Schizosaccharomyces pombe: one gene and its partners. Changing the gene in region 1 together with any one later gene gives a genetic interaction. Each region holds a gene or a part of one and is shown in the gene's direction. Other genes may lie near its edges.

The links.
Region 2: mutations in SPOM_SPCC417.09C (region 1) and ppk38 together harm fitness more than expected from each alone (negative genetic interaction), as found in Schizosaccharomyces pombe (one large-scale study listed by BioGRID).
Region 3: mutations in SPOM_SPCC417.09C (region 1) and gcn1 together harm fitness more than expected from each alone (negative genetic interaction), as found in Schizosaccharomyces pombe (one large-scale study listed by BioGRID).

Annotation. Positions count from the first base shown.
Region 1 is NC_003421.2:1,689,841-1,697,631, reverse strand, and holds SPOM_SPCC417.09C (transcription factor), read left to right. Parts: upstream 1-3,047; 5' UTR 3,048-3,199; coding exon 3,200-3,546; intron 3,547-3,695; coding exon 3,696-4,116; exon of another isoform or gene 4,117-4,215; coding exon 4,216-4,805; intron 4,806-4,904; coding exon 4,905-5,850; 3' UTR 5,851-6,413; downstream 6,414-7,791. Other genes in the region: dipeptide transmembrane transporter Dal51, read right to left, coding at 380-1,906.
Region 2 is NC_003421.2:2,389,849-2,396,241, forward strand, and holds ppk38 (Ark1/Prk1 family protein kinase Ppk38), read left to right. Parts: upstream 1-2,370; 5' UTR 2,371-2,423; coding exon 2,424-2,547; intron 2,548-2,592; coding exon 2,593-2,723; intron 2,724-2,791; coding exon 2,792-3,239; intron 3,240-3,293; coding exon 3,294-4,543; downstream 4,544-6,393. Other genes in the region: spx2 (SPX/EXS domain-containing protein), read right to left, coding at 1-104, 170-442, 509-858, 911-915, 956-1,085, 1,142-1,167, 1,210-1,223; arrestin family membrane adaptor Mug170, read left to right, coding at 4,827-5,476, 5,515-5,764, 5,823-6,154, 6,200-6,248.
Region 3 is NC_003424.3:2,223,691-2,230,543, reverse strand, and holds the start of gcn1 (translation initiation regulator Gcn1), read left to right. Parts: upstream 1-3,153; 5' UTR 3,154-3,203; coding exon 3,204-3,351; intron 3,352-3,424; coding exon 3,425-6,853. Other genes in the region: rRNA (pseudouridine) methyltransferase Mra1, read left to right, coding at 1-211; U3 snoRNP-associated protein Utp11, read right to left, coding at 780-1,529.

The DNA of each region.
Region 1 (7,791 bases):
CTCGGGGACTTTTGCTACTTGGAAATCTACAGTATTCAGTAACGTTCGTAAGACGAGTATATTATTAAAGTCGTAATAAGAAAATAATAACAAAAATTAATAATAAAGCTAAACATACAAGCACAATATGTCAATCGACGACATCAAGTTAAACAAGAAACCATGGACAAGGAAAATCAAAATAATTAAAAGGAATAGTGTTCCTAAAAACAGAAACTTTCTTTCTCTTAAAAGTGTATTCCAGCTAAGAAAGAAATATTTCGGAATATACGACTAAAACCTGCTTTAATAACTCGAATGAAAAGTTATTACGGTAGTTTCCGTACACTCATTAGTAGTATACAATAATTAGAAAGCAATGACCTGCAAAGTGTACAAATCATAAAGTGTATCTGAAATCAAGATTCTCAAAATCTGTAAGATCTTCAAATTCAGCATTGGGACGATGCTCAATCTTTCCCTCCGCAGCCAATTGATCCCTACGCTTGTTTTCTCTCCAATTAACATAGTAAAGAGCAGGAAATGTGACTAAAGTTGCTGCATAACAACCGACCATGGTGTTCTTAGCAGGCATATATTCAGGAGCGTCAGCAGCTTTGAAAGTTTGAGGGCCGATTAAATTTCCCACACAGTATCCGATAAGATAGATAACACCAACAGTGACTTTCTTTGTATAACCAGAGGCGTTGGAAGAAATGATGGCGAACATGACAATCATGGCACCTGGAGAAACCATCAATAAATAGTAACCTGCAAGCTGTGCACGAGGAGGACCAGCGAAAGAAAGCAAACAGGATCCAATCAAGGCAATACATGTGGTGATGGTAGCCAAAACCATACGTTTATGAATGAACAAACTCAAAAACCCAAAGGCGATCAATCCACCAAATTCACAAGCGCCGGCAGGAAGACCCATAAGCAAGGTTTGAAGGGTATCATAACCCATGGTACCTTTAATTAAAAGAGAGGAAAATGTACCGATACCACCATTGGGAATATTCAAAAGAACGGATGAGACAAACATAATCCAAGTACGAATATCAAGCATGGTTTCCTTAAACTGATACAATTTAAAGTGATTATTACCAACACCTTGCTTGTTGGCACGAAGACGCTTGACAACCAACTTACGATCTTCTTCAGTGAGAAACCAGGCTTTGAAAGGATTGTCGGGAACGACGGCAAGAATGACAAATCCCAAGAAAATGGCGAGGACACCGCAAATAATGAAAATAAGCTTCCAACCTCTCATGGGAAGACTGGTCCTCTTGGCCAAACCATAAGCCATGCAGCTACCAAGGATCTGACCCAAACCATTAAAAGCGACCCATACGGAAGTACGAAGTTGTTGTTCACTGCGCTTGTACCATTGAGCAGTGAGAAGAATGAAACCAGGACTGGCGGCAGATTCCATCATACCGAGAAGCACACGAAGAGCGATAAAGCCAGGATAGTTGGCAACTGAGGTCATGCAAAGCAAGAAACCCCAAATGACTAAGAAAACACACAAGGTCTTGGATAAAGGAAAGCGCTGAAGAAGAAGAGATGCAGGGAATTCGAAGACAAGGTAACCCAAGTAGAAAGCAGTACCTGACCAACTATACATTTGACCTTCCATCTTCAAGTCTTCTTTGAGACCCATGATAACGGCATAGGAATTTGAAGTTTTGTCCAAAAATTGGATGCAGTATACTAGACACATGACGGGGAAGATTGTGCAATCGATTTTGCGTACCAATCTACGCTCCGTTTCTGGATCGATCTCATCGTAGTCGACATCAAGGGCGTAATTGAAAGCAGCATCCACGCCTTTTGGCGAGAGATCGCCAACGTCGACATCGAGAATTTCCTTATTTTGGACACTCTCGGGATCTTTCAGCTTTTCGTCTATACTGATGCTTGACATTTTCTCGCTAGGCGCTTAAATATCTAAGCGGGATTATGGTAGTATGTCTAAAAGTAGTAGAGAAAGGAAAGGGAAAAAAGAAAAAAGAATTAAAATTAGAGGAGGGAAAAGAGAATGAAATTTAGTAAAAGCTATTTTCGCCAACACTTATAATGAGTGTAGTCGGGTTGTTTTTCTTATTGAGGATCGATATACTAATGAAATTGGCTTGTAGCATTGCAAGGTGATCCCTTCCTTTTAAACCAGGCAGACAAGCTCTTGACTTGGTTATCTGGCATCCACCCTCCGGTTGGTGTACCCGGTTTGTAATCTCGAGTATGTTCACTGCATCGCACATTTTCCTACATACCAAAAATTCTACTGTTGCACCTATCATTAAACATTGCAATACCTACCAACTCTACCTGGTTTTAGCACTAAATACCCGATATCGTGCTACCCCATTGTTCCTCCAAAGATCTTCTGAGCCCGGAGATATAGGAGAACTTGATAATGTTAGGTAAATTGGCAAAGTTGATGCGTCAGTCTCCTATCTATTCGTCAAGTTTCATCGTTTAAACAAACATCCAAGATCGGATATCAGGGGCGTAAAAACCGTAAATACTTGATAAAATAAATAAATGATGGAATGAAACGCTTCCTAAGCAGTCGAGCCAACATTGGGTCTTGCATTTCTAACTTTGCAGGAATTTCTTGATGAGAAATGGGGAAATCAAGACGCATATCATTCATACGTTGATTTTTCCTCATCCCAACGCTAACATCGAGCTCCCAACTCATTTTTTAAATTTTTCGTCCAAGCACTCATAGCGCAGCTTATCACCACTTACCACATATACTAGTGTAAAACAGTACTGATCGCTCGCCATGCTTAGATATGATTCCACCAAGATAGCAATAGATGTCTAAGTCGGCTATAGCCACCGGAAATATAATACACTAAGACACTGGGTATACCAAGAAGAAATGATAGTGTCATCCATCAAGGTCATTATTTCGGATTTAGAAAGGCTAGTGATATTTCTCTAAAAATTGCACAGTGATTGTGGAAATGCGGTGGAAGCCGTGGGGCTATCAGGATAGGATTGCTAGGCATGCCGCCATTTCCAAGATAATGGGCGAGTACGCAAACGTGCAAACCACTGTTAACGGATGGGCCCCGAGATCTCCGAGAGCGAGGAGAACTGGAGCTGGAGTTGCTGGAGTGAATTCCATACACAAAAATCGAGGGTTTTCTGTTTGGATAAATAGCTTAGAATAGTAAATGCTTGAGTTCCGCTGCATTCTCACTGCATGCATGCTAGGATGCAGCCCCATGAGGATAGGAGTCGTAGTGGCATGAGTAGAAGCGAAGCTATGGAGTTGGAGGATCAACTAGAGGAAGAAGAAAGGGGTGGTAATGTTGTTGTTGGCAGCAGCAGCGCGAACGCGAACGCGAGCACAGCAGAAACTGGGAAGAAGAGCGCTGGAGGCTCAAAACCGAAAAGAAGAAGAGGCGAGCGAATTCCACCTTCAAAAAGGATTCGAAAAGCTATTGCGTATGTAAATAAATATGCATCTGGTTGTTTTGGTCGAGTTGAAAGACGTTTAGTTTGTACGCGTTCGATCAGCCGCCATTCCAACCAAAAGTTGCTTGATTTGTTTGTTATTACTATATTTATTGTTTTCGTATTATTTAGTTGATCTATTGAATTATGTAGTTGTTTCTTTATTTCCTTACTTTACAATTTTTTTTTGGTTTTATTTTTTCTACTTTTTTTTTGTCTATTCATTCAAATGCTAATATTAGTTGTGTGGAATGCAAAAAGCATAAAATCAAATGCGTCGGTAACTTTCCCTGTGGCAGATGTCTTAAAAAAGGATTAGAATGCGTAATAGAAACTCCTCCTAGATTGCTTATGAATAAAGACGAAATTTCTCTCAATCTTCAGAGACTCAGTCATATGGAGACCATCCTTTCTAAACTCATGCCAAGTATGAGCTTGGATTTGCCCAGCTTGGAAGCAAAGATTGCGGAGCTTAGTGAAAGCCTTCAAACCTATCCTGATAAAGTACTTACCGACATCGAACTTGGAAGCTATCAACAAGTGACTTTGAATGAGACACAGACATATTACGAAGATGCCGGCTCTAACGAAAGCTTCGTCGCTCGCGTGCACGAGATCATTTGCCAGGGCAGGGAATTTCAGGTGCAGCATAAACTCACTAACGTATGTATTGATGGATTCATCTACTTCATTTCATACCCTTGCTATGTTGTGGGGCATCATCGATTTTACTGTTCTTTACTAACCCGTTTTTCTCAATAGAAAGGAAATAAAACATTTGAAGATATTTTAGATCCCGCCGATAATACTGTCGCCTCTTTAATCCATGCATTACCCCCAAAGGATATCACTTTTTATTTACTTATGACATTTTGGCAATTTTCTAGTGACAACAACCATTTTTATTATAATACCAAGCTGTTTGCTGCAAAAGTCCATCATCTTTTCGATGATCCAACTTCCTTTCAATCAAAAGATGGTGGTTTTGTGTGTATGCTTCTTCTGAGCATGGCCATGGGCAGTCTATTCTCCTACATTCGCCATCCAGAGTTCCTTTCTGATGAAAATCACGATCGTTGGACTTATCCTGGCTCTCAGTTTTACCAAAACGCCAAACTTCTTTTTCCCAAAGTCATCAGTGAATCGTCGTTGGAAACAGTACAGTCTTTCTTCCTAGCCGGTATGTATTTGTCTCCAACATTGGCACACGAAGTTGTATACATGTACTTTGGTATAGCTATGAGAGCTGCTGTTGCCAATGGTATGCACAAAAAGTCTGCGAATGCTCAATTTTCCGGAGATGTTGCTGAACTTCGTAAACGGCTTTTCTGGAGTGTATATTGCATGGAAAGGTAAGGCTGTTGAAAACTTCCCAAGATTCATGTCTGGGAAGAAGAAGAGAATTTTTTATTATTCCTCCTCATTATTTTATGCTAACGTTTAACTTTTAGAAAAATAGGTATTTCTCTGGGCAGGCCCGAGAGTCTTGTGCGTTCCGAAATTGATATTCATTTTCCAGAATACCGTGAAAGTTTAGATTCGCAAAACTTCATTGCCAGCTTCCGGACCTTCACCTTAGCTATTAAAATTTCCCTTCTAACTAATAAAGTCTATGACATGTGGTATTCCTCGCTACATGGAAAGGCGAACTTAAAAGCAGCTACCATTAAAGAGATTGTAAACGAAATTGAGGCATGGCGCCAACAACTGTCTCCTGATCTAGAAATACAAAACATTGGCCCAGATAGCAGGTCTTACAGAGGTATCGTTCATTTGCATCTAGCTTATCATATTGTTCGAATTGCCATGGGCCGACCGTTCTTACTACACCGGCTTCGTGAAAGAACGATGAATAGTAAGACGGATGAGGGAGCTAGGCTTCTTACTGATAAGTTAATTTCATACTGCTATTCATCCGCTTTGCACATTGTCGACCTCCTTGTACTACTAAGAATGCACAAATTTCTATCTGTCTATTCATTTATGGATTACCATTCATGTCATGCCGCCTCTTTTATCATTCTGGTGCATCTTCTAATCAACCCGTCTGAACAAACGATCGAACAACTGAATACGGCTATTGACATTTTGAATTTTGTTACCGACAGATTTCCACTTTTAAAAGGAAGTACGGATGTCATAACTAACTTGCGGGCATTTGCTGAACAAAGCGAGGTATATCAATCAAGGCTTAATGCTACCGAACCAGCTTATTCGACGCAGGTGCCTTTCTTCCCTAGAGATGCTGATTATCATAATCAAATCAACCTACAAAATCTTTGGAATGATGAAAATATCAATGCCTCACTAGAGGCACTTTTCAATGATGCGAAGGGTTTTGGCTTTTTACTCCCCGCTGATAACTTCATTTTCCCTAGTGACGATGGAGACATGTAATGATGGCTTTCTTTCGAAACTACTCAAACCTGAATTTTAAAAAGGTCGATATTTTAATTTACCCTTATTCTTTTCTCCTAGTTGGTCTACCTTACTGAACATATTTACTATTAAAGCAAATGAAACTGAAAGTTAACCCTTTTTCCCATGGTCACATTGCATCCTTTTTTTATATGATCAAATCATGCTGATTTGACCAAATCCTTTTCCAAAAAAAAAAAAACAAAAGATAAAAAAAATAGGCAGTTGCATTTTTTAATGAATACATAACGTGCATAACTGTTAACACAATTTTACTTCTAACTTTATTGTATCTTTCCTTTTGTCTTATCTAGATTAAACCCGTTTTAATGGTTCTCAATTAGAAGCAATTGTTTTAGCTTGGTTTCTAATTACCCTCTTAAAGGAATTAAAGGCTTCAATTGACGAGTGTTGAATTATTGAACAGAAAACTGTACATACACATATACAGTTGCGATTCGCTGAGTATGATAGAAATTTTCGTTATTTCATTTTATGGATATTAGCAATTCAATATTTTAAGTATCATAAACAAGCTGAATTGACAATCATTTTAACGTATAGTCCTTTTGACTTTCACAGTCTCATATAAGTTTCCTTGTGTAAACGATAACTATGGAAATACTGGATAGCGTCTGCAATCAAGAATGAAAAATAATAACTAGAAATGAATTCAACTAACTGATTAAAAAAAAGGAGCCTACAGCACCCCGGATTCCCATGTTGTCTCCAACCATAGTACTAACGAGGCCCTCAGACGCTTAACTGCAGTGATCGGACGGGAACTGGTGTTTTCACCTAGGTATGGCCGTAGACGTTCGATAATGTAATAAATGATTTTTATAGCGTTCATTAGGGGAATGGATAAAGGTTCTTTAAATTTATTTCAGCCAATATTCCCTTAAAGAGTTTCTAGTTGGACGATTTAACTAATTGATTGACTCAAAATTTAACAATTATTATAACGCTTTTGTATATTTCTCTTCAACTTTTCTACCAAAGAAAAGGCTTCTCTTGATGACTAAGTATTCGACTGTCAAGTTTTGTCAATTTAGTCTCAAATATTTCGGTCATGGAATCATGCTTCCTCAGAGCTTAAAATAGGATAAACGAATTCGGTTTAGAGAGTTTTTTTGCATACCTATGTTACCATTCAAAATCGCAAGATGGAGTTTGGTGCACATATTTAAACGCAACTTTAGAAGCGAATAAGGCCCCTTTGAAAAACCGGTGCCCATGCCATATAATGCTTTTGAGTTTGAGCGATACAGATGCTGCAGTTGCAGAACCTCGAATTAAGGCATAGCTTGAAATAGCTCTCATGATTTGCTAGACTATTATGTGGAAAACACAACAGATATTCAATTGATTCTACATTTGGCAAATATTCGTTGCAATGAATGGGAATGAATACCTCGCCCATAGTCCTCAATGTTCAGTGTAAAGCATCAGCTAAGTGAGAAATCTGCAATAGTCGCAGTAGTTGCAATGTCGATAGTAACATAAAAATGCTATACTTTTGGGATAAAAATTTCTCAGTCACGATGCTTGAGAAACTGCATTGATCGATATTCAATATTTGCAAGTTCTGATTCTTGTTACAACTTTAGGATATCATTTTTATGCGAATTTCCTAAAAAGGGATTTTTTTTCCTTGACCAGTTTACTCATTGATTTATTTCAACAACCTTCCAAAGAACTCCAATGCTAAAAGTATCACTTGTCCTCACACTTCTGAACTATTTACTCTTAAGATTAGATGAGAAACTCACAATTCAAGCTGAAGCGAGCTCTGCAAGTCATTAAAATTATTCAATTCCAACAACTAAGCAAAAAATTATTTAAAGTCAAATAAACAAATGAAAAAAATAGTTGCGCGGCCAGGTTTCGATCCTGGGACCTACGGGTTATGAGCCCGTC
Region 2 (6,393 bases), 700 kb from region 1:
TAGGAGGATTGCTCAGTAGCATTATAATAGCAAGCAGCCTCTATAGCCAACGGTAAACCTGCACCAAACAAGAGTCCAAATCGCATCGAGTTTGCAGAAAAGTGCTAAATAACCCAAGTTAGTAATTAGAGTATAACGTAAAGTCCAGATGCAACTGAATTATACTTACCTCTTTTTGACGAAATGACTTAAGATGCTCTAAAGCAAGCTTCTTGTTATGATTGGTAAAAAGACGAGCATATATGTCTTCAACATGCAATTGCCAATTTGTAGTGATGCTGAAATCTGTGAACGTATATCTGCTCATATAATCAACCCAAAAGCCCTGAAGATCTGTATGTAATGTTTTATCATACTTTTTGACAATCTTTCGAAAGGCTTGTTGATTAAGATGCTGGTACTGAGAAACCAATTTGAGATAATCATAAAAGTCCAGCAATGTCTAGTTGAAACAATTAGCAAATTTACAAACATCTATACTATGAAGGAAAAAAGCACTGAGGCATACCGTTTTCAATTTAGATTTCAGTTTGCGATAACTGACCATCGGAGTATAAGCATCAGTTGGGACACTCTTCCTAGCTGGGATATGATAAGCAGGTTGAAGTCGAGAAAAATTGAGGATTGAATCAAGCCTTTGTCTGAGTTTAGAGTGCTGTTTCTGTATTAATACAACAGATCCCGATTCAAGGGTCCCCTTTTTGAATGCACGAAGCTTTTCATATATATCGACCTGATCGCTAATAAGATCCATTCTTTCTCGCGCATCAGACACCAAATTTTCAAAAAATTCTTCCACCTTGTTTGCTTGTTGGTCAAGAAACTCTTGAAAAAGGGGATGAAACCGATGAATTTGCCCTAGGTCAAAAGCAGTTAGAAATGCATTTTTTAGAGATGTCAAAAAACGTACCTCGTCTGTTTTATTAGTCAATAGTGCAAATTAAATAAAACTTACTTTACAATGGCTTCTTCAGGTGTTTCTCCCAAAATCCCTGAAGTACCATACAGACCCTCAGAAGGATTCTTTGCAATGCCTGCGATTATTTTTTTCCCCTTTTTGTAGTCAAAATAAGCAGAAGCCCATTCTACTCGAATTAGCATATCCGAACGTCAATTATTTTTCAACTACAAACTAGCATACCTGCAACAGATTGTCCTTCGATAACCCTGTACAGTTAGTAAGCTTCAGAACTTTCAAAAAATCCTTACTTTCCGAATTTCATGTTCAAATAATTTTTAAAATTAATTACATAAAAGAAAGAATATATGTATATATATATATATTGACTTAGGAAACTCTTTTTTGCAAAAATTAAAAGGCAATATCCTTCAAACGACTTTAAAGCATTCAAAATTCTTGATATCGAAATATATATCAAAATTAAGAAATTTAAAGCATGTATAAAATTTAGGAATGTTTTCTGGTTACTTTGCTTTAGATAGAATGTTGGTTCTAGTTGCCCTTATTAAGATAAGTACACCAAGTGGTATCTGCAAAAAAGGTAAATTTAGTGGTTCCAAGGGATTTATATTTTCATTTAACAATGTTTAAGTATCGTGAATTCTCGGTTTAATTCTTGTGATCTCGTGGTTAATATTAAGAGGCAATTGTTAATGGATGCCACAAAAAAAGTTAAGTAGGGCCATTATTGGGGAAAATGCGCTTTAACATATGTATTGTAATTATTTCACTTTTTTTTGTTTATTTTTCCTCAAACTTTAGAAAAATCACGATTAACTGATCGATGCGATCTAATTATGCTAATTATGATATAAGCGATAGCGAGTTGGAGGTCTGTCTTACTTTACTTCAATTCATAAGATTAATTGTTTAAAAGTAGATAATCTAATGGTAGTATCTTCTGTTCCAATCCTCACAATGGATGATAGCTGTGTTTATTGGAGTTAGTCGTCAATGCATTTGAAGGACAGGAATTTTGCTAATGTAATGAACTACTAGATTTTTAAGTTAACATTTGACGGAGTTCGTCTATTTAAATTTTCCTTTAGCTATCATAGTGGTCCGTAATGCAGCCTTTTATAAGTCTTTCTGCAGTCCCTGAAGCAACAAATTACTCCATCATGTATTCACTATTAGAAGAGAGAACTAAGAAACTTAAATGAAAACATAACTATAATTTTTAACTTAAATAATGCTTGTCTAGTCTTGTCTTCCATAGTATTTATTTTTTGAACTCAGCTTCATCTGTCAATAATGCAATCGAACTCGCTTGGATGCATTTCTTTTTCTATCATATGAAGGCTATCGAATGTATCAATTTATACAAAGGAATAATTCAGTAAAGGCCAATAATTGAATATCACCTGTTTCACTTATATATTATATATCCTAACCCACGTTCCGCTCCTAAACCACCAAATTTACATTGAGTAAATCTGGTTGCAGCAGACTTTCTTTTGCAATGAATGAAACAAACAACACTTCATTGCTTCCAGTATCTTCTTTACCTTCAGGTCTTCTGCCTGTTGGTTTTAGTTGTACGGTGGAAAAGTTTTCGGTTACAGTAAAACGATACCTTGCTGAAGGTATGTAAAATCATCAGCTTCCAAATGTTAACAGCGTATCTTTAGGCGGCTTCTCTCATGTATATTTGGTACAATTGGTCTTCCCAGGAAAGCCACCGTTTGAGGCAGTTTTGAAACGTATCTTTGCAACGGATGCTATGGCCCTTCGAGCTGTGCACGAAGAAGTACGGACTATGGTATGTCCTTCTATCCTGTATTTTGTTGCTCTCCAATTTTTTACTATAAACTAACGACTTGTCTTTAGAAACTTGTTAGCAACCAAAAACGGTGTGTCTCATATTATGGCTCGGAATTTTTTAGGACATCAAAAAATCAATTCGAGGTCCTTGTACTATTGGAGTATTGCCCTTGTGGAGGCTTGATTGACTTTCTGAACACTAGACTTCAAGTTCGTTTATCAGAACAAGAAATTTTGAAAATAGCTTCTGATGTTACTGAAGCGGTTGCAGTAATGCATTACTTGAAGCCTCCGTTAATTCATAGAGATCTCAAGATTGAAAACGTGTTACTAGCTGCCCCAAATTCGTACAAGCTGTGTGATTTTGGTAGTGCATGTCACCCAATACCGGGTGCTAAAACGGCCGCTGAGGCCAAACAGCTAGAATATGATATCGAAAAATTTACTACTTGGCAATATAGATGCCCTGAAATGATTAATGTCCATAAAGGATTTGGGATAGACGAGAAAAGTGGTATGGTTTCTTTGTAACGTTATTAGAATATATTTCGTTAACACTAGCTTTTAGATATCTGGGCGCTAGGGGTTTTGTTCTATAAACTATGCTATTACACAACTCCGTTTGAACATCAAGGGCTTGCTGCTATTATGAATGTTAGTTACGCTTTTCCAACCTTTCCACCTTATTCAGATCGGTTAAAGCGACTAATTTCAACCTTATTGCAGCAATATCCTTGGCAACGTCCTAATATCTACCAAACCTTTTGTGAGATTTGTAAGATGCGTAATGTTCCTATACATATCTACGACATATACAACGGTAAAAATGTATCCAGCTGCAATCCTTCTGGTTCCGAATATCTGCAACATGCTTCCAAGTTAGAAAACAGTGGAATTCACCAGAGTAAATCATCCGTGTTCCCTCAGCCTGCTTCTGCTATGAAGCCAATGGCTTCTCCGATGTTACCCAATGTAAACTCGATGCCTTATCTTTCTAACGGAGATCATAATAATAATGGAAACACTTCTTCTCCTGTCTCAAGGTTTTCGTACGGTCAACATACTTCAAATGTACCTTCTACTCAAAAATTACCTAGCAACTTCCGAGTTACCCAAGGTGCACCACCTAGTCATACTTATGGACCACCTCCACCCGTCCAGCCAAAACCTAAAATATCTCCTACGACTCCTCGTTTAAGCACATTAGCTCTGGCTGACGATATGTTTTCATCTACGGCTAAAGAAACTGTTCCTACAAACGAAGCTGTCTTTACTGGTGATGTTAAATCTTTTGATAGTCAAGAATCAAATATTATAGAAAGTGAACCTCTTTCAGCTAGTAATGCTTCGGGAAAGCCAAGGACTAGTGTTAACCGTTTGGTTGATAGGTACAACCATACATCAAGTTTAAACAAGGTAGCTGCTGCTCCCGCTCCTGTCCCAAAACCTGTAAACTTAAAATCTGTGGAAAACCCACAAAACAATATATCTGCGCCTACACCCTCTAGTCTTCAAAGTTCCAATGCTCCAGTTGGGCTAGGCGAGGTAGAAAGCAAAAGTGTACCTCCAACCAATATGGCCACAGAACGAGGTGTGGTGGGAAGACGTGCCAGTATGTCTATTGCTGTGAATGCACGACGTGTCTCTAAACCCGAAAAAGAGCATACGAATCCAAACGCTGAGCAGGGCGATGTAATTCCCGAAAAACCTATGAGTATAAAAGAAAGAATGAATATGCTTATGACCAAGACTGATTACGAAAAACCGAAGGTTGAAGGCTATGGCCGTTACACCGACGTTCAGCAAACGAAAAAGTAATATTTTTATCATGATCTTCAAATGACCTTACGGATAAGTCAAATAATGTGGACATTAAGTATCTATATTTTACAAAATTTTATTACAATTTCTTTGTATATTTCTTTTTGCGCTTGTTTTTTTACCAACTAAGTTACCGTTTTGTTTTGGAATGTTTACCATCGAGTATGATGTTGACGAGTAAACAACCTCATTGGCAAATATCAGTTTAAGATTTCTCCAACAACTATTTCCAATAAATAAAAATATACATTCATTTTGATAACAACCTAATATCGTGCTAATGACAGAAGAACTTTTTAGTAACAGTGAAACTTGCAGTTTGTCGGATCCATTGACATCTAAAACATTGTCAAGTATAGAAAATCCTTTTGATGATCCCTATATATTAAGTGAAGAGTCAGAAATATTAACCATCAAAACTGATGTGTTACGACCGAATATTCTGAATAGGAAATCGTCTTTTTATCCTGAAGCTGATGCACCAGTTCGAAAATCTAATTTACAAGTAAAAAAAATCTTTGAAAACCAAGTTTTAAATTGTGATGGTATAAAAGTAGCAATAACGATTCCTGATACTTCCTTAATAGCTGGATCCTTGTTACATGGCAACATTTGGTTATCCTACGAAGGGGCAAAAAACGTGGAAACCGGTGTTTGGATAAAGGAAATGTTTCTCGATTTCTATGGTATTTTGAATTTTAAAGGCCATTCAGAACCTTTCTATTCTATCTCTGAAAAGTACTCGTTTTGCAACCTTAAGACATCTGCACTGATTCTCTCAAAGGCAGCTTCTGCCAGCATAGGCAACAAGGGCCTTTTCCTTAAATGTTCTTGTAAAGTTGGGTTTCCTTTCTCCTTCATCGTTCCTTTGGATATAGGTCCAGGTACTTATCATTCATCGAAATTAGAACTGTTATACTATATTTCAAGGTAAAAGATTAAACCGAAAAAAGTAACTGACATCTTAGTACGCTGACTTTAACATCTCTGGATCAAAATATTCGCTGTACTCGTTGTACAATTCCTAAACGGGTAATCACTTCAATGCATAATAATATAGCGGAGCTATATAACCCGATCTCATGCATTAAAAGCCTACCCTATCTTTCATTAGAAGAAGCAAAAACTACCTTGGAGGTTCATACGGACAGATCCTTGTTTTTTAGTGGTCAAATCATCGATTTTACCATTTGCTACACTCATAATCATCACAGAAGGGTAAAGTCTAGTAAATTAATTAAACTAAAGATAACAGTTAATCGCTAACTCTCAAAAGATTCATAATATAAAAGCACGATTGCTGGAAACTCATATCTTTCACCCTAATACTCAAAATCATTACGGTGGTTATTGTATGAACCAGGCCGAAGAAACATTCGCGAGTTGCGGATACTTGAAGCGTTATCAAAAAACTAAGACGAAAACAAGGGCAAAATCAACTTGGAAAATTGCTAATAAATCTGTTTATTCCAATTTGGCACCGACTCTAAAAAACACAATCCACGCACAAATCAAAATACCTGAATTTTGCCGTTCTGTTAATTTAAAAGATCAGCTGAAAATTGATTATACCCTTGAAGTTTGTTTCTCAGCATTTTTTAAACCAAGGTATGTAATCCAATCATTGTTTAAGTTCACACGCTAACAAGATAGAATTTTATCAATACAAATTCCTATAACGATTTTACATTCCTGGAACTAACATCAGCTACCTATAACATGCAGAGTACGCTTCTATATATCTACTGCCAATTCACTTAGTGAAACTAGATTGTAAATGAACGAAGACTGCATTGTAGAAAAAATAGAGATCATGATTAAATTACTTAAAGTAGAGAGCAATCAAA
Region 3 (6,853 bases), on another chromosome or scaffold:
TGCTCCTACTGTTCCTCCTCGCAAGTATCTTGAGACTTTACAGCCCAACCAATCGGTTTGTATTGCAATTGGTGCTATGGCTCATGGTCCGGACGATTTTTCGGATGGTTGGGTTGACGAAAAAATCAGTATTAGTGACTACCCTCTGAGTGCAAGTATTGCTTGCTCTAAATTTCTTCATTCTATGGAAGACTTTCTAGGAATTGTATAATTATTAAGGTAAAAATTTTTGCATTGTCTTCATTGTTATTCAGCTTATATCCTGTGCTATAGATATTCACTTTTTGATATAGCTTGAATTTTTTGGTACGTTTCGTACTTTACATTTTCTTTAGAGAGTATTAGAATAAAATAACAACTATAATTCTAGCTTCTGCAATTACAAAAAGAAAGGAAACAATTTATCACACTACAAGGCATTGAATTAAACCATTCCATACACTTTTAAAGTTTGGGAATTACAACCTAAGACAAACTCTTAATACTCACCGATAAAATAATTCGGTAATATTGAATGACTCACAACACTATGAAGCTCAATATGAGAAATAGATGGATATTTGCTTAGAATTAGACAGATGATTAAACCAAATTATTCATAAATAAGCAATCCATTCGTTAAAAATTCCAAAACCTAAGTACATTCATACTAAATAGAGAAAATGATAAATAACAAAAAAGGTACAACTAAATGAAAGAAACGAAATAACAACCAGTAAATCACAAACACAACAAACTGAAAACAGTTCCTCAATTATGTTAGGAGCAATTTAAGGAAATTATCGTTTTCTCTCATTCCTCCACTTGTATACCGGTTTTCCGTTTACGACCTTCTTTTTCTGACGGCCTCCTTTTCCCTGTAAAAGTCTATCAAGCTCGACACGTTCTTCAGCAGCCGCCAATTTTTTGTCGCGTTTCTGGCGCAAAAGAAGCTCGGTCGCCGCCTTTTCTTTTAATTTTGAGTGCAATTTTCCAGAAAAAGGCTGGTTTGTCAGTTCATTGTTTTCAATTTGATCTTTCTTTACACGATTTTCGGTTCGACCAACCAGATCATCTGTAGTTTGGAAAAATTCAGCTGGGTTAAAACTTTTTGCCTCTTTAACATTGTCTACGAAGATGGTGTGCTTCCTGGATTCATTTTTATTCCGATGAGCTCCCACAGTATGCATTTGTTGTTCCAAATGATCAATTTTAGCACGTTCAACATTGCGATGATGCCGAATCCAGCCAATGTCTTGAGTTTTCAAAATTTTGATTGTGTCCATATCGATGGTTGAATCCTCGCGCTGTTCAAGGGGTACTCCATTTTTGGTCTTTTTGTGTGTCATTTCATGATAAAACTCATCAGGGTTTCTTTCAAGGGCTTTTTCACGAAGACGTTTTAACTTCTTTTGCTTTGTCTTATAATCCTGAGCACGCTGCGCATAATCCTTTCGTTTCTCTAGCAAACCCCATTTTCGTCTTTCAAAAGGCTGAGCTCTTTCTCGATGATTTTTCCTTTGACCTGCATTTTTAAAAGACGAAGACATCTTTAAAAAAGTTATGGTTAATGTTTGGCTGTTTGTCAAAGAACCGAATTATTGGCTTTTAGCAGATTCGCCTCTGCAAAATATTTGTGTTTAGGGCACTACAAGTGTTAGCGTGCAATGTGCTCAGGACGTTAAGATACGCTATTACCCCCTTGGCTAGTGCTTGTATTGTTTACGATTTGAAGTTATACTGTTAATACTCTATAGATATAATCAAATTTTTTAGAAAGAGTCTTTGGCTGAATGGTGGCTTGTTAGCTTTCTAGTAGAATTGGAAAGTTTACTGTTAATGTGCAGCCCATATCTATCAGTTTAGCAATACTTATTATTAAAAAATAATTGTCTTAACTTCTCTATAAAACTTTTTATTCATTGATTTATTCTGCTCAAAAGGAACGGAAGCCTCAAGATAATTTATTAATTACTGAAAAATAAAAAATAAGGAAAGTAAGAGCAACGCATTAGGACTAATCGCTATGCTGTCGTTAACATTAACTGTCATCGATATCTCACTACATTACACATTACTTAAGTTTAATGTCCTTAATCTTATCCATTACGATGCCGTCGTTCCCAATGTATGTGCTTGTGGTTGACATAACTCAATTGAACAAAAAGTGCATCTCTTTGTTCTGTAATTCCACTGAATTGGTAAATAATGTTAAGCATTGTTATACCGATTATCCTTCAGTATGGCTTTATTTTAAAAAAAGATTTTGTTAAATAGTCATCGTAGTTTACTGTATCCTCAAAGCAGTTATAGATGCTGTAGCTGACGGCAAGTTGTCTTTACACACTTCCCACAATGAAAAGGGAATAGATCAAAGAAGAGAAAAAGCTGTTACTGGTGAGTGTAAAACGCTTGGCACAACCGAGAGTTTCATAGCAAGTATATTAGATTTTTGTTATTCGATTCAGAAGATTTAATTCATTAAACATTTGTACTTTGATTTTTTCTTAATTTACCCTTAATGCTTGTACAATATAGAATATTGACTGCAGCCTAGCAAAAACTAGGGAACTAATATTTACATGTAATATGCGTTATTAAATGTGTATTTTTTTTTTTTTTTTTTTTATGGGAAATATAATTAAATTCGAACTGATATTAAATATTATTTTTAAATTTAAAAAAAAAAAAAAAGGATCTATAATATTAAAATTAATCCTAACTTGCTGGTACTTGAACGAACTCTTTATAAAATGACTGTTTAGCAAATAATTGGTTTTGTTACACATCAAAAAGAAAGAAGAAACTAAGACTAGTTACATAGACAAATTTTTATATGGATAATTGCAACAGACCCTGTAGAATATGTGTCCCAAAATCGCGTAAAATACGATAGGTGCATTTAAATCGCTGATAAAATAAAGCAATTAATTTAGGAAGCAGTTGTCTGTGAATTCTAAAAGTATTGATAAATATAAACGATATTAGCCAAAAAAAATTTAAAAAAAATAAATTCTCTTATGAAATTATCAGGTATATAGCCGTTTAGATTTCTTTTATACTCTTTAATTTTGCGCAAAAATACCTATCTTTAAGAATATTACTATTAACTTATTAATTTGGTTCGGTAAACTCGAGTTCGTTAGGTAATCGAAAATTGCTTGACGCTAATGTACCCTCTGCGAACCTGTCCATAACCAACATTTCTTTCTCCGATATCGGTCATGTCGGTCGAAGAACCTGGGATAGAAGCACATGGTCATAAAGATCGGATGCTTTATGCCATGTTGCTAAGTAAAGATACTTCGCTCGCATTTTTGGGATCGAAGAAGATTATGATAGATATCCTTCAGCATATTTGTCGTACTCAAGGTAATTTAGACTTCTAGACTACTAATTTTATGAAAACTGGTGAAGTTCTTTTTGTTCTAACTTTTCATTTCAGATATTGACGAAGAATCAGCTATTGCTGCCTTGGAAGATATTTTTGAAACTTTACCACGAAATCTTTCTAGAGATGCTCGAAAACAAATCGAAATAACAATAAATCATTTGGTCAGTAGATTACCTTCAATAGTGCTTCCTTTCTTAGTTCGTCGGCTGACCACCATCGCTGGAAGATTGGATCGCTTCAGGAGTACTGTCTCTGTATCATTTGATTGTCTTAACTGGGTTAATTCAATGATTCCCAACCTTCCAGAGAAAGAGCTACAGTATTGGATTTTAGAACTGCTTCCACTACAAAGCAGTTTTTTATCATATGCTCTACGCGATGGAAAACCCAGTGTTGCTGACAGTGCCATAAAGTCTACTAGGAGATGCTATCGTTCTTTATTTTGCAAAAAAATGGACTCCTTGAAGAAGTTGGTTAGTTTTCTGTTGACAGAAACCGAGAATGCTATTCTTCCACCCAAATCTCTACCTTTGTATGGTGTTATTATTAGCACATGCTACTATTTTCACCAATCTCCCAATCCTCGCAATGAAATTTCTCAGCAGGCTGAGCTCTTTTCAAAAATAATGGCCCAAAATGTTTTAATGGCAAAACCTGCACTTGAGAAATACTTGTATCATGAATTTTGCTACAGTCTTGGTTTGCTTCTTTCAGTAGATCAATTGAAGCTATACCTACTTCCTTCCATTGAAAAAGCTTTACTTCGCTCTCCAGAAATTATCTTTTCAGGTATACTTTCTTCTCTGGCTCATGGTTTCGCGGATTCAAAGGTGGATGCTTCTTCTTTGATTCTCTCGTCTGTACTTACCTCGTTTGTGAACGGACTGAAAAGCTCAAACGCAGAGGTTAGAAGAAACTGCTTTCAAACGTTTAAGGATTTATCAGCTAATGCGAGTGATAATGAATCACTTTCACGCGTTGCGTCTGAACTGATTACCTCTCTTAGAACCGGAAAGGTTACGGCTTCCGATCAGCGTGTTCTTTTTGTTGATGCACTCTCGAGTCTTTCTCTAAAACATATCGATGCTTCAATGCTGTTGAATGAATTATTACCTCTTTTTACTAAAGCAAAAGAGAGTGATTTTAATTCGCTTGCGTCATTGATTGTTAAAACGTTGAAATTTTTGTTAATGAATGGTCGTAATCCCGGAGACAAAATTTACGATTTTCTCTCTAAAAGCCTACAGAGACCTGTCGCTCATGAGTCGATGTTTTGGCTCACATCTTTAGCTACAATGGCATGGGATCTTCCTGCATCTGATGATGTTCAAATAGAATTTATCAATTTCTTTTTAAATAATTTGTCTATTCTTACGGAAAAGGCTCTAATGTCTGTATCTGGTGCTACTCAAAATGGTACATACTTAGCACCTATAATTTATTTAAGTTTCGGTGTTAATAAGTTGTCTGTTTGGAATAGTGAGAGAATATCCCATACTCTTGAATTGCAGGACATTTTAGTAAAACTGTCAACTCCCAAAAATAATGATGTTTTCATTTTCTCCAGCAAAATTACCAATAAGCTTAATGATGATCAGTCGAAACTTTGGTATTTTCAGGGCCTCTGTGATTTTGCAAAAGTTTCTGATAATTTGTTATTTTCCAATTTTGTTGAACGTTGGTTTCAATCGGTCATCGGCGTTTTTTCTTTTGCTAGCCGTGAAAATTCTAATCGTGCGCTAAAGATTCTTAAATCGGCAATACTATACCGTCCCCATCTTCGTATGTCAATTTGCTCACAACTATGGAATTATCATGCTGATTTCGAGAAGTCCAAGAGCGTAGGAAAGTTTGACTCAGCCAAATACGATGAGATTTCCTCATTATTTCAATCCTTAATCCTTTCATCGATGTCCGCTGATACTTCTAACTTTTCAAACCAGGAACTTGTTGACTTCGATAAATATTTGGTTGAACTCCTCTTCCTCTCCTTTGCATTTAAGGATAAGTTTGATTGGATTCGCTTCTGTCAAGTGTCTAAACGTGATCCCGCTACTCTTGTTTCTGAACGCATACACAGTATCATCGAAGAAATAGAGTTGTTACTTTCTTCTGCTATCAAGGACTCTAAAGAGACAGCAGCTATTGCGTCTATTTCCATGATTGTTTTTGTCGCTCCTGAAGAATCAATACCTTTGTTCGTAAATGTTTTCCGTAATCAATTGTTGCACCTTAACATTTCTTCTGTATCAAGTACGGATTTAGAAATTTGGAAGACCCCTGAGGGTGTATTGTGGGATAACGTTTTAGAAAAAAAATCTTCAAAGAAGCTTGATAAGAATACCAAGGATTATGAGACTAAGAGATGGGAAGCTGAAGTGAGGGCGAAACAGTCTGCTAAAAAGCCTGCGAAGTTGAGTAAGGATCAACAAGCTCTTGTTGATGCACAACTCGATGCTGAAGCTAAAATTCGTAGTCGAGTCAACTTGATTGCACTTTCATTAGAAAGGGGATTAGGCATTATTCGGAGCTTAGGTGAGGCTGTGCAACTCGCACCTGCCCTATGGGTTGAAGATGCTATTGATGTCTTACTTTTCCACAACGTTCTGAAATATAGTGAGCCATTTCTTAAAAACTTGGCCTATGATACTTTTCTGCTTACTTTGAAAGCTTCTGGATTTTCTGAACGATTAGGTGATAGATCTTATTCATCGAGTCTCGCCTCTATCCTTGCCCATACATTTAGTGTAAATTCTTCTGAAAATATTAAGGAATTAACAAAATCCATACTTTACAAACTTCGCTTTGCCATTGAGCAAAACTATTTTGAGCCACAAATGTTTGCATGCATATTTCCATTACTTTATGACTTGACCTTTAATATCACCAATTCTGATGAAGAAGATGAAGCCGAATTACAACTTTTGGTTACAGAAATTTTGGAGTTTCAAGCACTTTACTCAGCTTCACTAAGGAGAATGCGTTCAAAGCTAATAAAATCATTGCTGCACTTACTTGAGATTGCACCTACGCAGTATCAGGAAAATAAAAACTCTTTACTTTCTCTTTGTGAAGGGTTACACTCGACATATACCGATGAGGAACTTAATTTATTATTAAGTAATCTTTTTCACCCGGAAAGTAGTATCCGATCAGCTGTTTTGCAAGCTTTACAGGCTTTTGATTTATCACGTTTTGAATTTATTAAGGAAATCTTTCTGGAATTGTATGATGATAATGAAACAAATGCATCTATAGCTCATCAAATATCGACCCAAAATGGACTTGATGCTACCGAAACTTCATTTTTTGAACTTCAAATATTTTTTACTCAAGATTCGGACTATCTTCAGCAGATCATTGGTAAATCTTTAATTGATTTGCTTGACGAGTTTGAAGAGCTTGGTCAATTTATACCGAAGGAATTAATGCGAACATATCGTGAGAATGCTTTACCTTCTGCTCCCGAATATGATGAAT